Daphnia pulex: one gene and its partner. The protein of the gene in region 1 interacts with the protein of each later gene in a pairwise test. Links are inferred from orthologs where the notes say so. Each region holds a gene or a part of one and is shown on either strand. Other genes may lie near its edges.

Region 1 (3,883 bases):
TTTAGAGTTGTTCACTTTCGATTCAGCTTGGTCGAATGGCGTCAGAATACCTCAATCATTCTTAAATGTAAAAGCGAAAAAACAACGTTAGCAACACATTCCAGTCCACTGTCTTAAAAGCAAATTTCGTCACTCACTCACGGACACTTCGCCACCGGTAAACATAATTTTACACACCTAGTGAAAAGCAACAGCATTAACGAACGACTGAATGGTCCATTATTAAATGTACGAACAATATCAACACCCGAATCTGCATGAACAACTCAACCCACCGTTCACCAGCTAGATGCACCCAAGTCTTTCTGCACATTGGACTGCCATCAAGAGGCTCAGAGCCTCAGAAGAGGTTGTAAACTTGTAATCCTACTTGGAGAAAAAAAGTCCTTATCAGAAAATACGTCATTTGTATGCTTTACATTTGTGACATCAACAAAATGACAGCAGCTTGGTTCAACTAGGCACTTTTTTGGAATTACTTTTAAGTTGCAAAGGAATCTACAATTAGCATCCTTAGAACAGTTTTAACTGAGAAGTCAACAGATACAAAGCAAAAAAACTATATAGCCTTACCGTAGAAAAGCTGATCAACTTGATTAATTTTATTTGCTCTGAAGTATTTTTGCATGTGAAGAGAGCTGCAAACTGTACAGGTATCAATCAAGCCAGCAAGAAGAACACCTTTCGCCAGCTGGCTGCAACAAACCCATGAGCACATTGGGCTGAGAGGCTCAGACCTGAAGAGGCTGTATTCCTATTAGGAGAAAAATCAATTGCTATCAGAAAATAAAGTCATGTGTGACATGAACAAAATGACAGAAGCATGGTTTAGCTAAGTAATCTCTAGGAATTACTGTTACATTACACAGGAATCAACAATTGGCATACTTTTAAAATGTTTTTAACCTTTAAGTCAACAGATTTCAAGCAAAAAAACTACATGTTAACTAGTAAATGAGTATCCTTACCGTAAAAAGCAGATCAACTTTATTATTTTAAACTCTTCTGAAGTGTTGCTGCATGTGACGAAAGCTACAAGCTGTACAGGTAGCAAACAAACCTGCAAGTAAAGAAAACCACCTGCCAGCTGTCTGCAACAGCAACAACTTCGTGTGCATGTGGGACTGAGAGGCTCAGACCTTAAAAGGCTGTATTCCTACTTGGAGAAAAAATCCCTAAACACACTGAAATATTTAGCCACCTGGTGACAGCCCTAAGCATCCACGGACGACGGGAGTCAATACATGCTCACTGTAGCCTACACCTGCGTCTGCGTTATAATTACGGATTGCACTAACACTAAGTCTATAATGATTAAACATTTAAACCCTACATCGTAATCTACTGTATGCAAAAATAGTGATGCCGTATTGGTATAATAAACTTTGTAATGTTCACTTTACTATAAGCAATGGCATACCATAGCAATTACTTTAACCATTACATAGCTGTCTGGCATTTGCGTTAGCATTACTACTTCTTTACTCTCACATAAAAAATTTTCATGAAATGTGCTAGGAATGGCTTAATAGTTAATACTATGGTGAATATTAATGAATTGTTTGAAACTAAAAAAAAAAAAAAAAAAACACGCGCTCTTTTACTTCCATCTAGTGGCTGCTGATGACACCAAAACTTTTCTTCATACTAAATGTGCCACGAAATGTCAAAATCAGCTGTACAAGGATCGAGTCCATCGATTTAAAATTGTCAAAATCAAAATCTGGCATTTAAAAAATAAAGTTTCAGTGCAATATCTATTATCCAAATCAATGTTTTCAATTGTGATGTGTACGATTTAGATTTTTCTTGTGAAAATTTAGATCACGTACATCTTAATATCGATGATTCAACCCCAATATCGACTGAAAGTTCACATAGAAAATGGCAACACGAAGTATCACTGAAATTTTCATTCTGATGCGTAACAATGCTATTCAAAGTCGCAATTTTTACTCTGAACAAGTGAGTGACTCATTTTGACTTTTGAAATTACTGGTAATTGGTAATGGTTTGCTTTTAGAGCATATCAGACACGGATTCCTTGGTCCGTCATGAAATAGATGTTCACGGCAAGAGTCATGCCACTCATGTAAGGATTCCTCCAGAATGGACAGACAGCTTAGAAGAGGCTCAGTACACCTTGACAAAAATTCAAACTCGACTAAAAGAGTTGAGCTCTCTTCAAAACAAACATCTTCTTAAGCCCACATTTGATGACTCGATGAATGAAGAGCAGCAGATTGATGCCTTTACTCAAGACATAACCAAAGTATTACAGATTAGAATTAATTAAATTGTTTAAAACTTCAATCCTTCTTTGTTTATTCTGAAGATGTTTACCACCTGCCACAATTGCATAAAAAGGATTCAGTACAATAGTACTAGTCCTAGTCTGGGGCAGGCAGAAGCAAATCTTGCCAAAAATGTGGTCACATCTTTGGTAACAACATTACAAAATCTATCAAACACCTTCAGGAGTGACCAGAATGCATATCTGAACAGTTCAGTTCTTATTCATTTATTTCTTTTACAAAGTATAGCACATTCCAGTCACAGTCAAAGCCAGTCACAGCACTTTTATCATGTCAATATTACTTATTCTAAGTGATAAGTAATCATTACTCATCAGTCATCTTCATTTCTTTATCACACAAGAATGTAGTTTCAAATCTCTGATTTGTATTTTGTTGCACCTAGATAATAGTTTAAAAATCAATTAACCAATTCGTAACAAAAATGTAAATTCATGTATATACTTATTTGCCCACTGCCCAACAGAAATTAAATCACGCGAGGAACGTTCTCAACAATTTTTTGGTGGAACTTCCTCCAAGGATTGGAATTATGATGACTGGACCAATACTAGCAGCCAAACCGAAACTCCGCGAGTGATGAGCCAGCAGCAATTGATGTTGCAGGAAGAAAATTCGTCTTTCGTTGAACAGCGCGAGAAGGAAATTCAAAATGTGGTCCGTTCGATATACGAACTGAATTCGATATTTAAAGTAATTTCTTTGACACTTTGAAGCATTGCAACATTATTTCATTATGGTGTAACTTATTTTTGTTCATTTTCTTAAATCTGCAGGAAATCTCTCACATGGTCGCGGATCAAGGTACCGTTTTGGATAGAATAGACTACAATATTGAGCATACACAAGCTAAAGTTCACGACGGTTTGGTTCATCTGCAAAAAGCTGATAATTATCAAAAGAAAAATCGGAAGATGGTATGCATTGTCGGTTTGGTTTCCACCATCATCCTTCTAATCATTATTTTAATTGCTGTTAAATCTTGAGTAAATAGAAAATCTAATTTCTGTTCAAGTTTTCCATGTGTGTATTGAACTGCTGGAAATGTACGTGTTTAAATGCTGCATAGTATATGTTTTACAAGTTCAAAACACTTGAATTTTCTAAGGTGTTGTAACTTTAATATGAAGTGTACATTTTCAATTACAGTCGCAATATTAGCTACCCCTCTCGTCACCAACTAGGGCCAAAAACACATTGGTCGTCCTTAGTATTGACATGCAAAAACAAATTACAGAACGTTAAAACCGCTCTTGTTTCGCACCCCTAAAGCTATAGTCCTGGAAACAATCAAATTCCTTTTGGAAATGTTTTCAGTAAGGACACGCGTAACGTATAGCACCGTAACGATGCCATTTAAGACATAAGCTCTACTTATCAGCAGTAAATTCATAAAGAAAATCAACAATAGATATTCAAATTTCTCAACGAAAGCTTCTTAAAAAATGAGAGTAGTAGAAAACGAAGTTTAGAGAGAGGAGAAGGCACAACGAAGACTAGCAGAGCACTCGTTGAAGTGGAGGTGTAATAGGGTGGTGATTCGGACTTATTTCTCAAAGATGAAAACC
Region 2 (4,209 bases), on another chromosome or scaffold:
TTGCTCTTGCCCCACAAGCAAAAATCAAGGCGAAAAGGGTTTGAAAATATAACTAATGGCCTTCAAGAAAACCTTCTGTGTGTTCAGACAATCTAACATCTGCCAAGCGCTACTCGCAACAATTATTATTCGCTTTGAATTTTACAAAGTCCGCTCGGCCCTTCTGAACTTTGGGGCATTATGTACTGTACTACACATTCTCTTCTGTGTTCCGTGCACAAATAATAATAGAAATGAATTATAAAATAAAATTTGAACGCAAGGTTCATCGTCTCCTCTTTCATCTGAAACTGCCAAATTGTTACTTTTCAATCGACTTAGCACAGTCATACGAGTATACTTCCTATACTGCATTCCTTTTCTACTAGTTTTTAAATATAGCACTACTATGTATAGCTATTGTGTACGATTTAGTACAACACGGAATTGGAATCAACACTTGACCGAAATACCAAAAACTTGTAAGTTGTTTTTTCGCAATATGTCCATTTCTGGTTCATTAATCCCACAAAACCCTAGTGAAGTTACCTTGACGCTTGCGCCATCTTTCAATAGGGTACGGCTTTGCGAACATTTGTCATTTTGGAAAGATAAAAAGATACTGCAATATGTTCGTAAAATCGAAAATCTGTAGCATTAATCAAGCTTTTATGAGCCTATATTTTGACAACACACAATAAAACTTTGAATTCTTAATTCTTTTAAAAATCTGTTACAGGACTGCAAGGATTTTAAATGTTAAAAGAACTATACTAATTTATAACTTTAGCCAAAAAAAAACCGCAAAGGTAAACTTCACCACGTTGGATTTCTCTGAACTACAAACATTGATACACACAAATACAAATTTGGTTGAGGCATACAATTTATCCGACAGCAAGAAAAAGGGAAGAAAAGTAACAGTACCGAAATTTTTTGCCTATTCATCTACGAATAATTAAACGAATTTGCCTTTTCTTTTAACACATTTTGCAGTTGAAAGATCAACCTCTATAAAGACAATATAAGGTGAAAAGAACAACTATATCGCGGAGTATATAGTAAATACCAAATTAGGAAAAAAAACCGAGTGAAGTCCAACGATGAACATATACTGTACACTGTAACGTAAGAGAACAATGGACAAGAACGAATTTGAAAAAAATAATAATGAACAGTGTAAGACAGAGAGCAAAAGAATTAATGTGGAATGAAAAATGTATAGAATAGTACACTTCGCGATCATGCTAAAAACGTATGGAACTAGACAATCGAAAGATATTACAACAGAATAATCGTGTATGGGGGAGCTTCTAATGTGTACATGCGCAAGATTAAAGGGTGTGCCATAAACCAGCAAAAAAAGCTACGATATCCTATAGGTTTCCGATCGTCGAGTGGTTTTGGATCTTCTGACTTAACACAAGTCAGGTGTTTCAGCCATCTGCTTCTTGATCCTCAAAAGCATTGTAGTGTACCATTGATCAAGCCGTGAAATGGAGTCATAATCCTTGACCGTTTCGGTGAATCCGTCTACATTGTGTTCTTCCATGTGACCAATGAGTGCCTTGATCAGCTTGCATTCTCGGGAATCCTATAAAAACAAATGAAGTTATTATTTAATTGAGGTCATCCAAACTGTTATTGAAAATCAACATTGTGTTGATCAGAAATAAATGGCATACCTGAAAAGCTGGATACATGTTCTCATATTGCTGGGCAGCATGTTGGGCATTCAACAAATCAATGCACAAGTGGCAAAGGGCAGCCCGGAAGAAGTACTCTTTAGCACTGTACTTCAACAGTGAATTATCCAGAGAAGCTGATGCAACTTGCTCATAAATCTGAATCGCCTTTTGATAGTTTTCCAACTGGGCTGCATACTGAGCCACTTTCAAAAGGCATTTGTTGGCAGAGCTATTACTTTCCTCACCTGTGAATACAATATTTTAATTAAAATGTTTAAAAAAATAAAAACTCTACTACCTTTGAAATAATCAGCTGCTTGTTCATAATGTTGCACAGCTCTTTCGAGATCAGCCAATTCTGTTTCGTAAATCTCTGCAATGGTTTGATGGTGTTTGGCAGCAATAGAAAACCTTCCCATATCAGTATATATTTCAATAGCTTTGAGGAGGCAAGCAACAGCCTCTATTGAATTTAGAAAAATATTAGTTGATATTAGATAAAAATAGAATATAACATGTAATGTTTACCATTGGGCTCAGATTTCTTATAACAGTTGCCTGCGTCAATGTAATTGGTGGCTGCATCATGACGTCCAGCAGCTTTAAGATGTAGAGCTGCTGCCTCACAAAAGGCTTGACCAGCTTGAGACCATTTTTTTGCCATTTTATACAAGTTTGCTGCTCGTTGGTAGCATTCTATAGCCTCATCAACTTTGGATGATCCTCTACACAAATAATTCAATAATCAGAATGGGAGGATAATGCAACATACTGGAATGAATTACCCTCCAAATAGAGAACCAAAAAAGCTCTTTCCCGAGTTCAATTTCTTTTCAGCCTCGGCGATTAGTTGGGCTGCTTTTTGCTCGTTGTCGGCCATTGTGGATTACTCTAAAGTAAGTAAAATTATTTGCGTGTACATAACAAATGTGAATGATAAGACGTTAAATAAACGTACATTTTGCAACAAATGAATACAGCTGCACTTCTCTTGTCAGACAATATTACGTATATCGATCATGACATTCTGCATAACAAAGGCCGGCGAACTAGTATTGTTTAGTCCTTTACTGGTCAGTACGTGCTGCCACCTGCTGACAACATAGTAAAGGCAACAACGCAACATAGGTAAAGTGGCGTCTCCTAATACAGTAAAAGCGGTAAAACTGTCAGAAGTCGGACCAATTAAAAAAAAAAAAAAAAATTAAATTCGATTCCTTACAAATGCCATCTTCACTTCATAACGCTATTGAACCACGCCATTTTCACCGATTGATGGAATTTTTGACAACCGGACTTTGGTATTAACAAGCGATCCACGAATCAAGTAGACCAAAATCCCGGAGCGGCTTTCCTGATCTAAATCCGGAAAAGGCATTAAAAATCTAAAAAAAATATAGCCATGTTCGTCTTCGCACGCCGGATTTACCTGCGTTTGCAGAATGACGATTTTCCCCCCCGTTTAGGAGTTATTTAGCTCTAAAGTTTGATTTTTTGAATTTTGTCAGAAAGTGGGGGGGCTTTGACATCCATTTTGGAAAAAGTGGGGGAGCTAGGGAAAAAACTAATTTTTTGAAAAGGTTTATTGCATACTCAACCACCGAAATCCAAAAGGAATTTCCTTTCCGGATTTTATTGGTTGAGATATTACCAATTTAGTGAAAAGATAATTTAGCTGGTTTCCCTCCCTGGCTTGCAGCCATTTTTTCGTACGGTCCGCTGCGCTCCTGGTGGAAGCCAGCAAAAGGTCTTATATATCGGCCTTCACATTAGACCCATTGCATTTATACAGGCCTTCATATATAGTGAACCCAGGTTTCTTATAGGCCGATGTATAAGACCTTCTGCTGGCTTCCACCAGGAGCGCAGCGGACCGTACGAAAAAATGGCTGCAAGCCAGGGAGGGAAACCAGCTAAATTATCTTTTCACTAAATTGGTAATATCTCAACCAATAAAATCCGGAAAGGAAATTCCTTTTGGATTTCGGTGGTTGAGTATGCAATAAACCTTTTCAAAAAATTAGTTTTTTCCCTAGCTCCCCCACTTTTTCCAAAATGGATGTCAAAGCCCCCCCACTTTCTGACAAAATTCAAAAAAATCAAACTTTAGAGCTAAATAACTCCTAAACGGGGGGGAAAATCGTCATTCTGCAAACGCAGGTAAATCCGGCGTGCGAAGACGAACATGGCTATATTTTTTTTAGATTTTTAATGCCTTTTCCGGATTTAGATCAGGAAAGCCGCTCCGGGATTTTGGTCTACTTGATTCGTGGATCGCTTGTTAAACAAATAAAGAAATTTTAGTTTTAGGCTTTTTTTCATGTGTAAATCAATGCCTAATCAAGAAAATTTCAAATGCAGGTTCATTTGGAGTAATTTAAAGTTCTTGTAATTTTATAGTGATAACGGACCATTTTGTTACGTCTGTTAATTTGATGAATAAAGTATCCCGATTTCGTTTATAAAAAGCAAGAAAAAGGCCAAAAGGTAGTCCGGCGTCGGCAGTGAGGTGGAATAAATTTTTAGAAATTTTCAATTATTT

The links.
Region 2: the proteins of syntaxin-16-like (region 1) and alpha-soluble NSF attachment protein-like interact in a two-hybrid assay, tested with the Drosophila melanogaster proteins (2 studies listed by BioGRID). The link is inferred for Daphnia pulex from reciprocal best matches to the Drosophila melanogaster genes Syx16 and alphaSnap.

Annotation. Positions count from the first base shown.
Region 1 is NC_060020.1:4,603,803-4,607,685, forward strand, and holds syntaxin-16-like, read left to right. Parts: upstream 1-1,633; 5' UTR 1,634-1,884; coding exon 1,885-1,965; intron 1,966-2,023; coding exon 2,024-2,272; intron 2,273-2,335; coding exon 2,336-2,504; intron 2,505-2,781; coding exon 2,782-3,008; intron 3,009-3,091; coding exon 3,092-3,301; 3' UTR 3,302-3,379; downstream 3,380-3,883.
Region 2 is NC_060021.1:555,385-559,593, reverse strand, and holds alpha-soluble NSF attachment protein-like, read right to left. Parts: upstream 2,763-4,209; 5' UTR 2,626-2,762; intron 2,559-2,625; 5' UTR 2,548-2,558; coding exon 2,453-2,547; intron 2,393-2,452; coding exon 2,196-2,392; intron 2,131-2,195; coding exon 1,966-2,130; intron 1,913-1,965; coding exon 1,665-1,912; intron 1,574-1,664; coding exon 1,397-1,573; 3' UTR 790-1,396; downstream 1-789. UniProt on the Drosophila melanogaster protein: Required for vesicular transport between the endoplasmic reticulum and the Golgi apparatus. Also between the endosome and phagosome.